3 linked regions of the Canis lupus familiaris genome follow. The protein of the gene in region 1 purifies or fractionates together with the protein of each later gene. This does not show direct contact. Links are inferred from orthologs where the notes say so. Each region holds a gene or a part of one and is shown in the gene's direction. Other genes may lie near its edges.

Evidence for each region.
Region 2: the proteins of CTDSPL2 (region 1) and STK35 purify together in Homo sapiens (affinity purification with mass spectrometry; 3 studies listed by BioGRID and IntAct, counting the BioPlex papers as one, with this or other methods). This does not show direct contact. The link is inferred for Canis lupus familiaris from reciprocal best matches to the Homo sapiens genes CTDSPL2 and STK35.
Region 3: the proteins of CTDSPL2 (region 1) and PDIK1L purify together in Homo sapiens (affinity purification with mass spectrometry; 4 studies listed by BioGRID and IntAct, counting the BioPlex papers as one, with this or other methods). This does not show direct contact. The link is inferred for Canis lupus familiaris from reciprocal best matches to the Homo sapiens genes CTDSPL2 and PDIK1L.

The regions. Positions count from the first base shown.
Region 1 is NC_049251.1:11,394,122-11,397,866, forward strand, and holds the start of CTDSPL2 (CTD small phosphatase-like protein 2), read left to right. Parts: upstream 1-1,331; 5' UTR 1,332-1,539; exon of another isoform or gene 1,540-1,544; intron 1,545-1,554; exon of another isoform or gene 1,555-1,685; intron 1,686-3,745. UniProt on the Homo sapiens protein: Probable phosphatase.
Region 2 is NC_049245.1:19,408,113-19,411,857, reverse strand, and holds the start of STK35 (serine/threonine-protein kinase 35), read left to right. Parts: upstream 1-1,156; 5' UTR 1,157-1,171; coding exon 1,172-1,477; intron 1,478-1,526; exon of another isoform or gene 1,527-2,071; coding exon 2,072-2,669; exon of another isoform or gene 2,670-2,846; intron 2,847-2,900; exon of another isoform or gene 2,901-3,093; intron 3,094-3,745.
Region 3 is NC_049223.1:73,256,939-73,260,683, reverse strand, and holds the start of PDIK1L (serine/threonine-protein kinase PDIK1L), read left to right. Parts: upstream 1-1,161; 5' UTR 1,162-1,408; intron 1,409-1,766; exon of another isoform or gene 1,767-1,905; intron 1,906-1,996; exon of another isoform or gene 1,997-2,190; intron 2,191-3,745.

The DNA.
Region 1 (3,745 bases):
GCTTACCTGCGTCTCATCTCTCTCCACTATCTTCCCCTCAACTCCTGTATCCCTGGTGCACAGAACTACTTCCCTAATTGCTCAGTGCAATTTCATTTTTGGATTTTTCCATCTGTCGTTTCCTTTACCTAGACACTTCCCTTCTAACATCGATTCTTCACGCCATCATCTCATGAAAGCCATCTCAAACCCTCACTCAGTTGTACGCCTGTCAAGAACTCCTTGTGGTCATTTTAGCTGTATTTAAATTGTTTACTTGTTTGTCTTCAATAGACCATGAACTCTGGGAAGGCAGGGTCCACGTCTGCCTTGTATCCCTCGCATCTAGTATGGTCCTCACACCCTGTGTTTTTTTCAGTAAATGTTTCTTGATTGAATAACGTGAATGGCCCAAGAGTTTTAGCAAAGAGATGATGCTCTTCCAACCACTACACTCGGTTTTCTGATATTCCACTAGGGCTGGGCGCTTGGATTGACACATTTCCACCCCGTGAGGCTGACGGTCGGTCCTTAGATAGACTCAGTAATGCAGGTAGGACCCCAGTTGTCTGAACGATCTGGCTTCTCGGAAGGACCACCGCCGACATCGCGTGGAGTCGAACGGCGTGGGTGTGCATGGCAGATCCACAAGCGACTGCTATGCTCTCTAGGCAGAGCGCTGGAAAGAGGACCTTCAACGGCCACCCGGATCCCTGGAAAGAAGGAAGGATTCGTCTCACCACGGCCTCCGGCAGCGCTCCCTGCACACGACCTCCTCCAGCGCGCCAAGGCGTTAGTCCCACCCTGTCCCGCTTGGCCCCACCCACCTGGCGCGCCCGGGTTGCTAAACCCCAGCGGCCAGGGCGAGCGCCGCGTTCCTAAGCCCCGCCTCCCGGGCGAGGGCGCGCTCCCCCTCCCAGCCCTGCCTAAGCAGTTCCGTTAGCAGCGGGAGGAAAAACCGTCCTTCGGATCCCCGCCTCTTCACTCCCAACGCTTTACTCCCTACTCCTCCTGCAATCACTACACAGCCAGCTACGGAGGCCCCTAAAGTACAAATATCCCCCGGGCCCTGGTGTAGCCTCATAGGTTTTGTCCTTGTTCCTCCATTCGGTCCTAAGGGTCTGCGTTCAATTTTTGTCAAGAATCGGGTTTGTGAGTTTCTTCTGGCGGCAGGAACTCCAAGGCCCTTTACGGAACTAAAAGTTGTTTTTTTGTTTGTTTGTTTGTTTTTGTTTTTGTGCGGGCTTTTTGTTTTTTGTTTTCTGTTTTGGTTTGGTTTGGGTTTTTTTTTTTTTTTTTGCCGCTGAAGCCTCCCGCATTCCTTCCCTCCCACCTCGCGGAATTGTGGCGGGAGGGGGAGGAGGAAGCCAAGGCGCCTGCGCGGAGAGGCCGCTTTCCATCCGGGTCTCTGTCCGTGCGGTGCAGCAGGTCGGTAGGCGGGAAATGGCGACTGGCTGAAGGAGCTGGTTCTGTTGCTGCTGCGGGCTAAGCGGGAAAGACACCACACATTGCGCAGTCGGGACCATCGCCGGAGCCTGAGGATACTTCTCTGTCGTCACAGTTAGGTAATCCCCCTCGTCCAGACACTGCCGCTGCTTCCAACCTTAGTCCTCCTCTTCCAGGGCCGTCTGCCGGGGTCTCCTCCCCTTCCCAACCGGGTTCTCCAGCGGCTCGGCGCCTTGGTAGGCATGCACCATTGGCGCCCTGTAAGTGCGCGGTGTGGAGCCGCTCTTCTCTGGACTTTCCCCTGGGAACAGAAAGGGAGCTCACTTCCCGCCAGCTTCAGCTCCCGGGCTGCGGCCTGTGTTGTGATTTCTGGGGTTAGATTTCACTTTGCTACCCACCCCCACCCCGATCTCACGTTCCTAGTCCCAAACCCTGTGGTCCCTCTGGGTAGTTGGGTTAGATCAGCTTTTCTAACCTTGGCCCACCTGATGTTTTCGATATTTCATTCTTTCTAGTAGGGTGCTTTTAGGGGGGCGTTGCTCTATCTCAGTTTTTATAAACATCTTTCGAGGATCTGGAATTAGATATTTCATCAAGTTCTGTTTATCTTCTGTACTGTTGAAATGTTGACTTGACATTGTTACTTTTTCGAATCAGGAGTGGTAGTAAAGGACAGCCCATGTGGAAGGCCTGTGGTTTCTGTAGTGGTCAATTAAGGGTGAATCTTATCGGCCGTAGTAGTCGCCGCTTTCCTTGGGTATTAAATGACTATGTGCATGTTTACTTTTTCATTCTTGACTAGAATTCTGTGGTAAATAATTGCATAAGTAAATCGTGTTTATTTACTTCTCACCCTAGTGGTGGCTGGATGTGTGAATGATGTTAAGCACTTTAGAGTACCTTAGGGAAGCCTAAAGAGATACTGCTCGTAAACTGCCCTAAGATCTTGAAATGAAATGTACTTAGTAAATGTTCCTCCTAGGCAAGGATTTATCTTTCTAGCGCTAATAAAGCGGTACCATGATTACTGCCCAATATGGATATACAAATTAGTACTTAAAAGATAGATTTATCTTAGTAATTTTCAGATTGTAGATTTCTTTACATACAGTTTCCCCATTCTTTGCCAAGTTTTAAATTCTTCGTTTGTTGTCCACCTGTAATCCTTACAAAAGCAAGGAACCGGTAGTTAAGGCTAGTTTCATTCCGCCCCCCCCCCCCACCTTTTTTCTTATATTGCAAACCATTTGTCCATAGAGAAAAGTAGAGTCAGTTGGTGTTTTTCAGAATTTGTTTTTCAATATTGTTGAATTTGAGGCCTTCGTATTTTTCCCCCTTAACTAGCTAAATTTTTTAAATGTGGCTTATGTTACATATCAGTCAATGTTTATAGCTCAAAGGTTTTTTTCGCTTTTCTAGGTTTAGTTTAGATGACTTTACTAATGTTAGCATATTAGGATTAAATTTCAGTGATAAACAACATCATTATAATTGTCTTTTGGTAGATTCCCCCCAAGGTCATAAAGAAAGTCAAGGCAAAAGTAGCTCTTAGGTGAAGCAGTCTTTTAGGATTGAATTGAACCTCATACTTGTCTTCCAGGAGCAAAAGAAGAGTGGGTGGGAAGTGGAGATGAGGGCATATTGGATACTTGCTGAGCCTATTTGTTTAAAGAATAGGGCCAAATATGTGACTAAAAGAATGTAGAATAAATTATTTGATTTGCGAAGGTTTTAATCTCTACTTTAATGACCTTTTTGGGTAGTTTATAAAGCATTAATTTTTTTTAAACATTAATGTTTTTAATAAAATTTGGTTTACAGATAGCTGAGTAAGGATTGTGTGTAGATTTTGTCTTAAAAAACTCTCCCAAATTGTTTTAATTCTACGTTCATACAGTACCTGTGCTCTTTTCATATTCTTCTCAGTAGGAGTTGAAAGAAAGTAAAAGCTCTAGTGGTATAGACCTTAATAATCTCTGTGGACTTGTAGGTGTATAGAAATTCCAAATAGGATTGTATGGAAAAACTGAATAGGATTGGTATGTTTTATAATATTCAATATAATGTCTCAGGCATTTCATTTGAGCTAGTAATGTTATTCTTTTTCCACTGTTAAGAAATTAAGAATTGGAGAAGTTTGCTCTTCCCCAAATTTATCTAACTATTCTTATGTTTGAGATTCTGTCTAGAGGTTTCTTCATAAGATTATTATAATACAAAATCCATACTCTTCTGTTTTTTTTTCTTTTTTTAAAGATTTTATTTATTTATTCATGACAGACACACACACACACACACACACACAGAGAGAGAGAGAGAG
Region 2 (3,745 bases), on another chromosome or scaffold:
AAATTCAAATACACAGAAATTAGCATGGCCCCTGCGCAAGGATGACACACAAATTCATTAAGGTTCTATATAAAAAAAAAAAAAGTACATGAGAATTCCTTACTATCCTTGTAACTTACATGTAAATTTTAAATTTTACCCCCCCCCAAAGTTACCACCTTTCAATGAATGACCTTCATACTATCAGAAGTGACCTGTCCCAAACCCAAAGCACTTTTTCATTCTTTTTCTCCATCATACTTATCCATGTCAAAAATTATTCTATGTGCTTAGTTAATAGTATCTAACACTTAGTGTGTGCAAGACCTTGTCCTGTTCTCAGTGTTTTAACTGTATAAGCACAGGGCCTCCAACACTGTTCTTCACCATCTTACAGATGGAAAGTAAAGACACATGAAAGTTAATTAACTTGCACAAGGTCACCATATCACTGGTCTCCTTCAGGGGTATAGACCCTCATTGAAGGTAAAGATTGTCTGGTTCATTGCTCTTTCCCCAGCGACTTAGAACAGTGCCTAGCACATTATAGAAAGCCAATAAATACTCAACAGATTCAGTTTAAAAATCACAGGCACCTACTAGGCCACTGGAGTACAAAGCAGTGAACAAAACAGCACTTTCAGCCTCGCACCCAATTAGCCACTTACTATGTGTACTCATATATACTTAGTCACTCTTAATATATGTATTTACACACAAATTACATGTATTTCATTTGGCTCTGTCAGCGCTGGGAGGTTAAGGTCCAATCACCCATTTTGCAGAACAGAAAACCGAGGCACAGAACCTGACGATGATTTGCCCCGAATCAACGGGCTCCTGGGCGGCAGCGTGTGGACTCCAATCCAGTCCGGGAGGTTCCCAGGCACTGCCTATGAATCAATCAAACCGCCAAGCCAATCAACAATGAGTATTTATTAGGAGCCTACTGCGCGCAGCCCCTCTTCAAGCAGCGAAGGCGGAGAGGGAGGAGGCTGCAGGGGGCAGGCGGCCGCAGAGCCTCGGAGGGGGGCGCAGCGGGTCCCGGGAGTTTGGCGCCTATTTTTCGTGGGCTGGGTGTTCTCGCCTGTGATTGGGCCCCGGCGCGGCGTGCCCGGTGCGCCCGGCTGCGGCTGCTCCGTCGACCTTGGCAGGACCCAGGCGGCGCGGCGCGCGGCCGGCCTCCCGGGGGATGGGCCACCAGGAGCCCCCGCTGGCCCGAGTGCGGGCGGGAGGCGCAGCTTATATAAACAGGTTATGTAAAGGGCTCAGCCGGCGCGAGCACGTGGAGAGCCGCGGGAGCCCGGACACCCGCTTCTCCCCCGCGGGCGCCGCCGCCGCCACCCGCGCCGCCGCGGGCTCCCAGGCACACCCGGCCCGGGCCGCCGCCTCCCGCGCCGCTCCGTACGCGAGGCAGCCCTGGCCTGGAGCGGACCATCCCCGGCCCAGGGCGCCAGGGGGGAAGCGGGCCGCCCGGAAGTGGAGGGGCGCCGGCCAGGTAAGGGCGCAGTCTGCGGAGTCCGAGCCAGCGCCGAGGCTGCACCCACCTCCGTCCCCGCGGGCGCTGGGGGAGGGCCGCTGGGTCCCCAGGTTGGCGGGTTCAGGGACGCGGAACTTCTGAGCCAACCTCCTCCACCCGCCGCCCTCGGGGACTTGGGTCGTTCCGCCGGGCTCCGCTCCGGCTTAATTCAATGGACTGTTTACACCCGGGAGAACCCAAGGCGGGATGCGGGGAGGGTGATCCCGGAGGGGACGAGGCGGGGAAAAAGAGTTCCGCAGTCAGAACGGCTCTTAAGGCAATTTTCTTAAGTCGTAAAAACTGCTGGTCCTAGTTTTTCCTAGTCTCAGGCGACAAACTGGCTGAGAAGGCGGGGCGGGGGTTGCTATTCTTTCCTGTTCCCCCTCTGAGCCACAGCCTAGTGGTGTCGCCCTTCCCGCTTTCCCCTCCCTTCCCCCCGTTCAGTCAGCGGCGGCGGCTTCCGTCTTAAAGGGGCCGCGGCGGCCGGAGGAGGCGGAGGTGGGACGCCCTGCGGCCTACGCTCCTTGCCTTCCCGCTTCGGCCTAGTTGGTTAACCGACTCTTTCGCCCGCAGGTCACAATCCAAGGTCCCGCTCCTCCGCGTCCAGTGGCCGGACGGAGGGATGAGGCAGGGGGGACCCGGGCAGCGCCGTTGCTGCTCCCCCCGCCGCCCGCAGCCATGGAAACGGGGGAGGAGGACGGCGCCCGCAGAGGTACACAAAGCCCCGAGCGGAAAAGGCGAAGCCCAGTGCCGCGGGCGCCCAGCGCGAAGCTGAGGCCGGCGGCGGCCCAGGCCATGGATCCGGCGGCGGCCGAGGCCCCGGGCGAGGCCTACCTGGCGCGGCGGCGGCCAGAGAGCGGCGGCGGGTCGGCGCGGCCGCGGTACAGCCTGTTGGCGGAGATCGGGCGCGGCAGCTACGGCGTGGTTTACGAGGCAGTGGCCGGGCGCAGCGGGGCCCGGGTGGCGGTCAAGAAGATCCGCTGCGACGCCCCCGAGAACGTGGAGCTGGCGCTGGCCGAGTTCTGGGCCCTGACCAGCCTCAAGCGGCGCCACCAGAACGTCGTGCAGTTTGAGGAGTGCGTCCTGCAGCGCAACGGGCTCGCCCAGCGCATGAGCCACGGCAACAAGAGCTCGCAGCTTTACCTGCGCCTGGTGGAGACCTCGCTCAAAGGTAGGAGGCGGCCGGCCCGCCCTCACGGGGCCTGGACCCGCCGCTCTGGATGCCGGGGCCGGCCCGGGTCTTGTCAGCCTGGGCCCAGACACGCCCTCCTCCCCGGGGCCCAGGCGCTTAGGCTCCCCTTGCACCTCAGCACCCCGGATGAGCCCCTGGCACTGACTGGAGGTGCTATTCTCGTTAAAAAAAAAACAAAAAACAAAAAAAAAAGCTCATGGAAGTGCTCACCGTGCTTTTAGTTAAGCGCTCAGTAAACTTAAACCTATTAAACTTGCAGCACTTTGAGATTCCACAGGGGGAGTGAAGAGGACGGGGCTGAGTTGGTGGGAAGAACTTCAGAGCCCCCCTCTCTAGGGCCTCTTCTCTTTCCCTCCCAAAGCAAACAAAAAAGAACTTTACCGAACCCACCCACACCCCCTCCGTGTCTGGTCCCAAATGTCCTGACACCCTTCAGCTCCACCTCCAAACTCTTGCTTCCTACTCTTCTGTTTTCCTCTGAGACACACACCCCCACCCCCAACGGCCCATTCCATCCCAAGGCAGTCAACCAAACTGGCGGGTTTCCTGGCTAAATCCTCTGGGTCCTGCTGAATAATAATCCCCCAGGTGGGCCTATAGCTGTCACATAACATGTAACATCTTTTTCATCTTTTTCTTTTCCTCTGCCTTACATACTTAATCTTTTTCTAACACCCCCCCCCCCCCCCCCCCCCCCCCATCCCAGGCTGCCTGGCTAGCATGTTTATAGGGAAGATGGGGCTCAGGGAAGCAAGGTAGCTTTGCAGTCATGGGAGGGCTAATCCTAATTTCTGAGTTTTCGCTGCGTTTAGGGCAAGAGTTCATCTTGAGTGCTCAGTGTTGACCTGTTTTGTTCAGACTTGTAAGTAGCCAAAGGTTCTCTAAAGAGAGGAGAAGGCCAGTGAGCTAGAAAGGTCTTAGAAGACTTCCTCAACAGAAAGGTTACTAATCTGAGACCCAGCTATGTCCTAGATGTCTTACAGAGTGACTTTAGGTAATAACTTTAAAAGTAAATCCTCTCCTCTTTCTATAAACGGAGAAACTAAGGATTAGAG
Region 3 (3,745 bases), on another chromosome or scaffold:
TAAAAAAAAAAACCTTTAGTCAGCCTATCTTAGGAGTTCCCAAATTGAATTTCAAGTCTCAGTTCTGCAGTCAGCTTGAGAAGAGGGATTCCTATAGTTAATGACCGAGACAGACAAAAGGAAAAAAAAAAAAAAAAAAAAAAAAAAAAAAAAAGCTCTTCTAACCAAAGGAGATACCACTCTCCTGATTCTGATCAATTACCCACACAAGCATTAAGGCCTTCCATAGTTTCCCTCTACTTTGAAGGGCAGAAACTAAGCCTTGGCTGGCATCAATACCCCAGCAGACAGCTGATGGAGACTGATCTATGATACTCAGGACAAAAGTCTTAATAGATGACAGAGCTGGGTGTTGTTGGGTTTTTTAGCGGGGTAATTACACCGGGAGAGTGGGTATTCAAGGCAGGTACACCGGAACACACACACACACACACACACACACACGCCCCAAACTACACAACTTTTGGTCAAATAAGGCAGCATCTGTGTCCTTCACCTGTAAAACAGGGTTAGTAATGAAGCCTACCCTGTGGGATTTGGTCAGGATTAGAAAAGCTAATTGAAAGACCTAACCCAGTCCCAGACTCTCTGGACAAGGTCCATAAATAGAGGACAGCAAATAAAAGGGGTAAGTGGCTGATCTTGAGAGCACCGACAGGGAATCTCCGCACGTGGAGCCTAACGCCGCACCGCACCGGAGAGGAACCACCACTCTACTGACAAACAGCAGGTGCAGAACTCAGTAGTGAGGAAGGGACGGACGCTTCAGGCGGACGCGTACTGGGCCGCGTGACTGACTGAACACTGGGCTGGTCCGAGTCTCTGAGCCACCGACAGTCTCGGGCCGGCTGTCAGGCGACTGCGTGCCGGGGTCTGAGGGGCCGCTGTCCGCCGGGCCGCGAGAGAACCGCTGTCTCCGCGGCCCACCCCGGCCCCCGGCCGCCCCATACCGCGGCCCGTCGCCGCGCGCCGGCTGGATCCCGACTCCCCGCGGGGGCCGCCGCCCGGCAGGGCCAGGTGCGGGCGCCGTCGTCCCTCCCGCCCCGCGCCGGGCAGGGCGCCCCCGACTCCCCGCGGCCGCGGCCCGGGAACAATGAGGCGCCGGCTTCTTTAAGGGAGATACCACCGCGCCGGCGGGGCAGGGGACGGCGTCCTCCCGGATGATCGCACCCAGTCCCGCGCCGCCGCCGCCTGGGCAACTACACCGTCCGCAAACATGGCTCAGTGACTCTGACAAAAGGTGCAGCCTCCCTCCCGGCGGGGCGGACGCCAGGCCTCCCAGCTCGGGCCGCGCCTCCCCGCGGGCCAGCCGAACAGCTCCGCGGCCCGCAGGAACCCCAGGCCCGAACCCAAGAAGATGCACCAGGCGTTCCGCCCCAGCGACCCCCGCACACCTGCCCGCAGCTCGGTAGGTGGGAAGGGGGGCGGGGAGGCAGCGGGGAGGCGCGCCGGGCGCGCGCACCCCCAGGCCCGGACCCGCTGCCGCAGACCGTCCCCCGGGGCCGCGGGCCGTGCGCGCTCGCTGCGGCTGGACGGTGACCGAGCCCCGGCGGGCAGCGGCCTCCCCGTTCCGGGCCCGGCCACCCCTGCAGGGAGGGGCACTAGTGGTGCGTTCCGGGGCGCGCACACCTTCGGCGACTCCCGGCTCCCGCGAGCCACAGGAGAGGGAGGAGGCCGGCGGAGCGCGGGGCGCGCGCCCAATAGGGACGGCGCTCGGCGTCCCGGCTCGCGCTACGGAAAGCCGGAGGGGGGCGGGGCCGCACGGCGTAAGGGGGTGTGTCCGCGCGCACCACGGGGGCGCGCGCCGGTCTCTGACTGGAGGCCGCGGCGGCTGAGGCGCGAGCTGCCCGATAATGGCGGCCTGCAGCGCCCGTGAGAGGGAGAAGCGGCGGCGGCTACCCTGAGGTAAATCTGGCCCTTAGGCCTGGCACCGAGGCCCTGCTGCAGAGCCAAGGACCCTGCATGCGCCTCCCTCCCCGGGAGGCCTGTCACAGACCTGTCAGCGGAGTCATCCTACGGAAGGCCCCGCGCTGCTCAGGCCTCCGGCCCGCACCCCTCAGGCCACCGGCGCCAGCTGCGGCCTCCTCTTCTGCCCCTGGGCTCCTCCCCAGGCCCCGGGCCTCAGCCGCCAGCCCCGAGGAGTTGGGGCCGCCGCGGGACTGGCTCCTCGGGGTGAAGGGCCTCGGGAGGATCCCCTCCGGGTTTCCTCTGGACGCCGCCGGGGAGGGGGAGGGCCTGATACTCGGCCAATGAGCGGGGCGCTGAGCCGCCGCGTCGGGCAACACCTCTGCCCGGGACTGGCCCTTCCCGGGCCGGCAGGTGTGTGGCCTGGCCCGCCGGCGGCCGTGCGCGGGCTCGGCGGGGCCCGCGGGAGGCCGGGGAAGTGCCGGCCGGCCGGCCGCGGGGGCTCGCGTCCAGGGGCTGCGTGAACGCCCCCTCCCCCTTACTCGGGTGCTCTTTCGCGCGTGGCCATGGGACAGCCTGCAGGAGACGAGCCGCTTTGAGCTGCAGAGTAATTGGCGCTCCACGGGGAGCAGGGGAGAGCGCCGTGGGTGGACCTGGGGCAAGGCGTCCGTGGCAGGGCATCGGGCGCTAGGAATTGCGGCAGGAATTTGAAGGGGGTTCCAGTTAGAGGAAGTGGGACCAAGGAAGTAATCTCAGAAGCTTTCATTTTCTTTATTAAATCCATCCTATGAACTTAAAGTAGCTGTACCCAATTTTTCAAGCTCAACAGCCAATAGCTTCTTCCCCTCCTCTCCAAACTGCACGCTGTAAAGATTGTACAATCTCTTGCCCATCGTGGCAATCTACAAATGAGAATCTGTTCCAGAAACTCGTGAGGATTTTAACATTCTTTGGAGAATGAGGTGGCACACTTCAGAATTTCTTGATTCAACTCACCAGCATTTCTGTGTCAGGCCTTTGCTTCTAAGCCTTTAAATGATTTATCAAGTTGAATTTGAAAGCACCCTGTCCAAGAGCCCCATCATATAGAGGACAGTTTTTGGTGGCAAAAATGGCCTACATCTAAATAGGTGTTTAACAACAGAAAGGTAACAATATTCTAAGTAGCTTGCTTTATTTTTAAAGGACCATTTTTTCTCCACAAACTTCATTTATTTTGCAAGAAATGAGAAATAGCAAAATTAAAATAGGGACATATACAGTTTGTTTACTTTTAAAAAAAAAACCTACATATTTTCAGTTCTATATGTAACCTGGTTCACTTTCAGTCCCTAAGCACAAGCCAGTTATATTTCTGTGAGAGGGTTTTTTTCGTTTTGACATGTTTATGAACTTTTGTGTGTGTCAGCTTTAAGGAGAAGCAGTGGAGTGCTCATCATAAGAATGATTAATTCTTTGGTTTATTTTTAACAGTAATATTTTGAAGCAGTTTGTGCAAGAGGCGGTATAGTGTAATGGTTATGGTTATGAATGTCAGAGCCAAGTGGCCAGGTTTCAAAACCCAGGTCTACCAGTTAGTAGCTGTTTGACCTTAGGCATGTTGCTTAAATTCTTCGTGATTTAGTTTTCTCAACTATAAAATGATTGTAATAACATCTATTTCATAATATTGTTTGAGGATTAAAAGTGCTTGGAACAGTTCCTGATACATGGTAATACCAAAGTGTTAGCTGCTTTATTATTATTATTCAAATATTTAGATTTGCCCATGATATAACAAATCTTTTTCAAGCATTGCAAACAGTGAGACAGATAATTAAATCATACATAAGAAGGTATA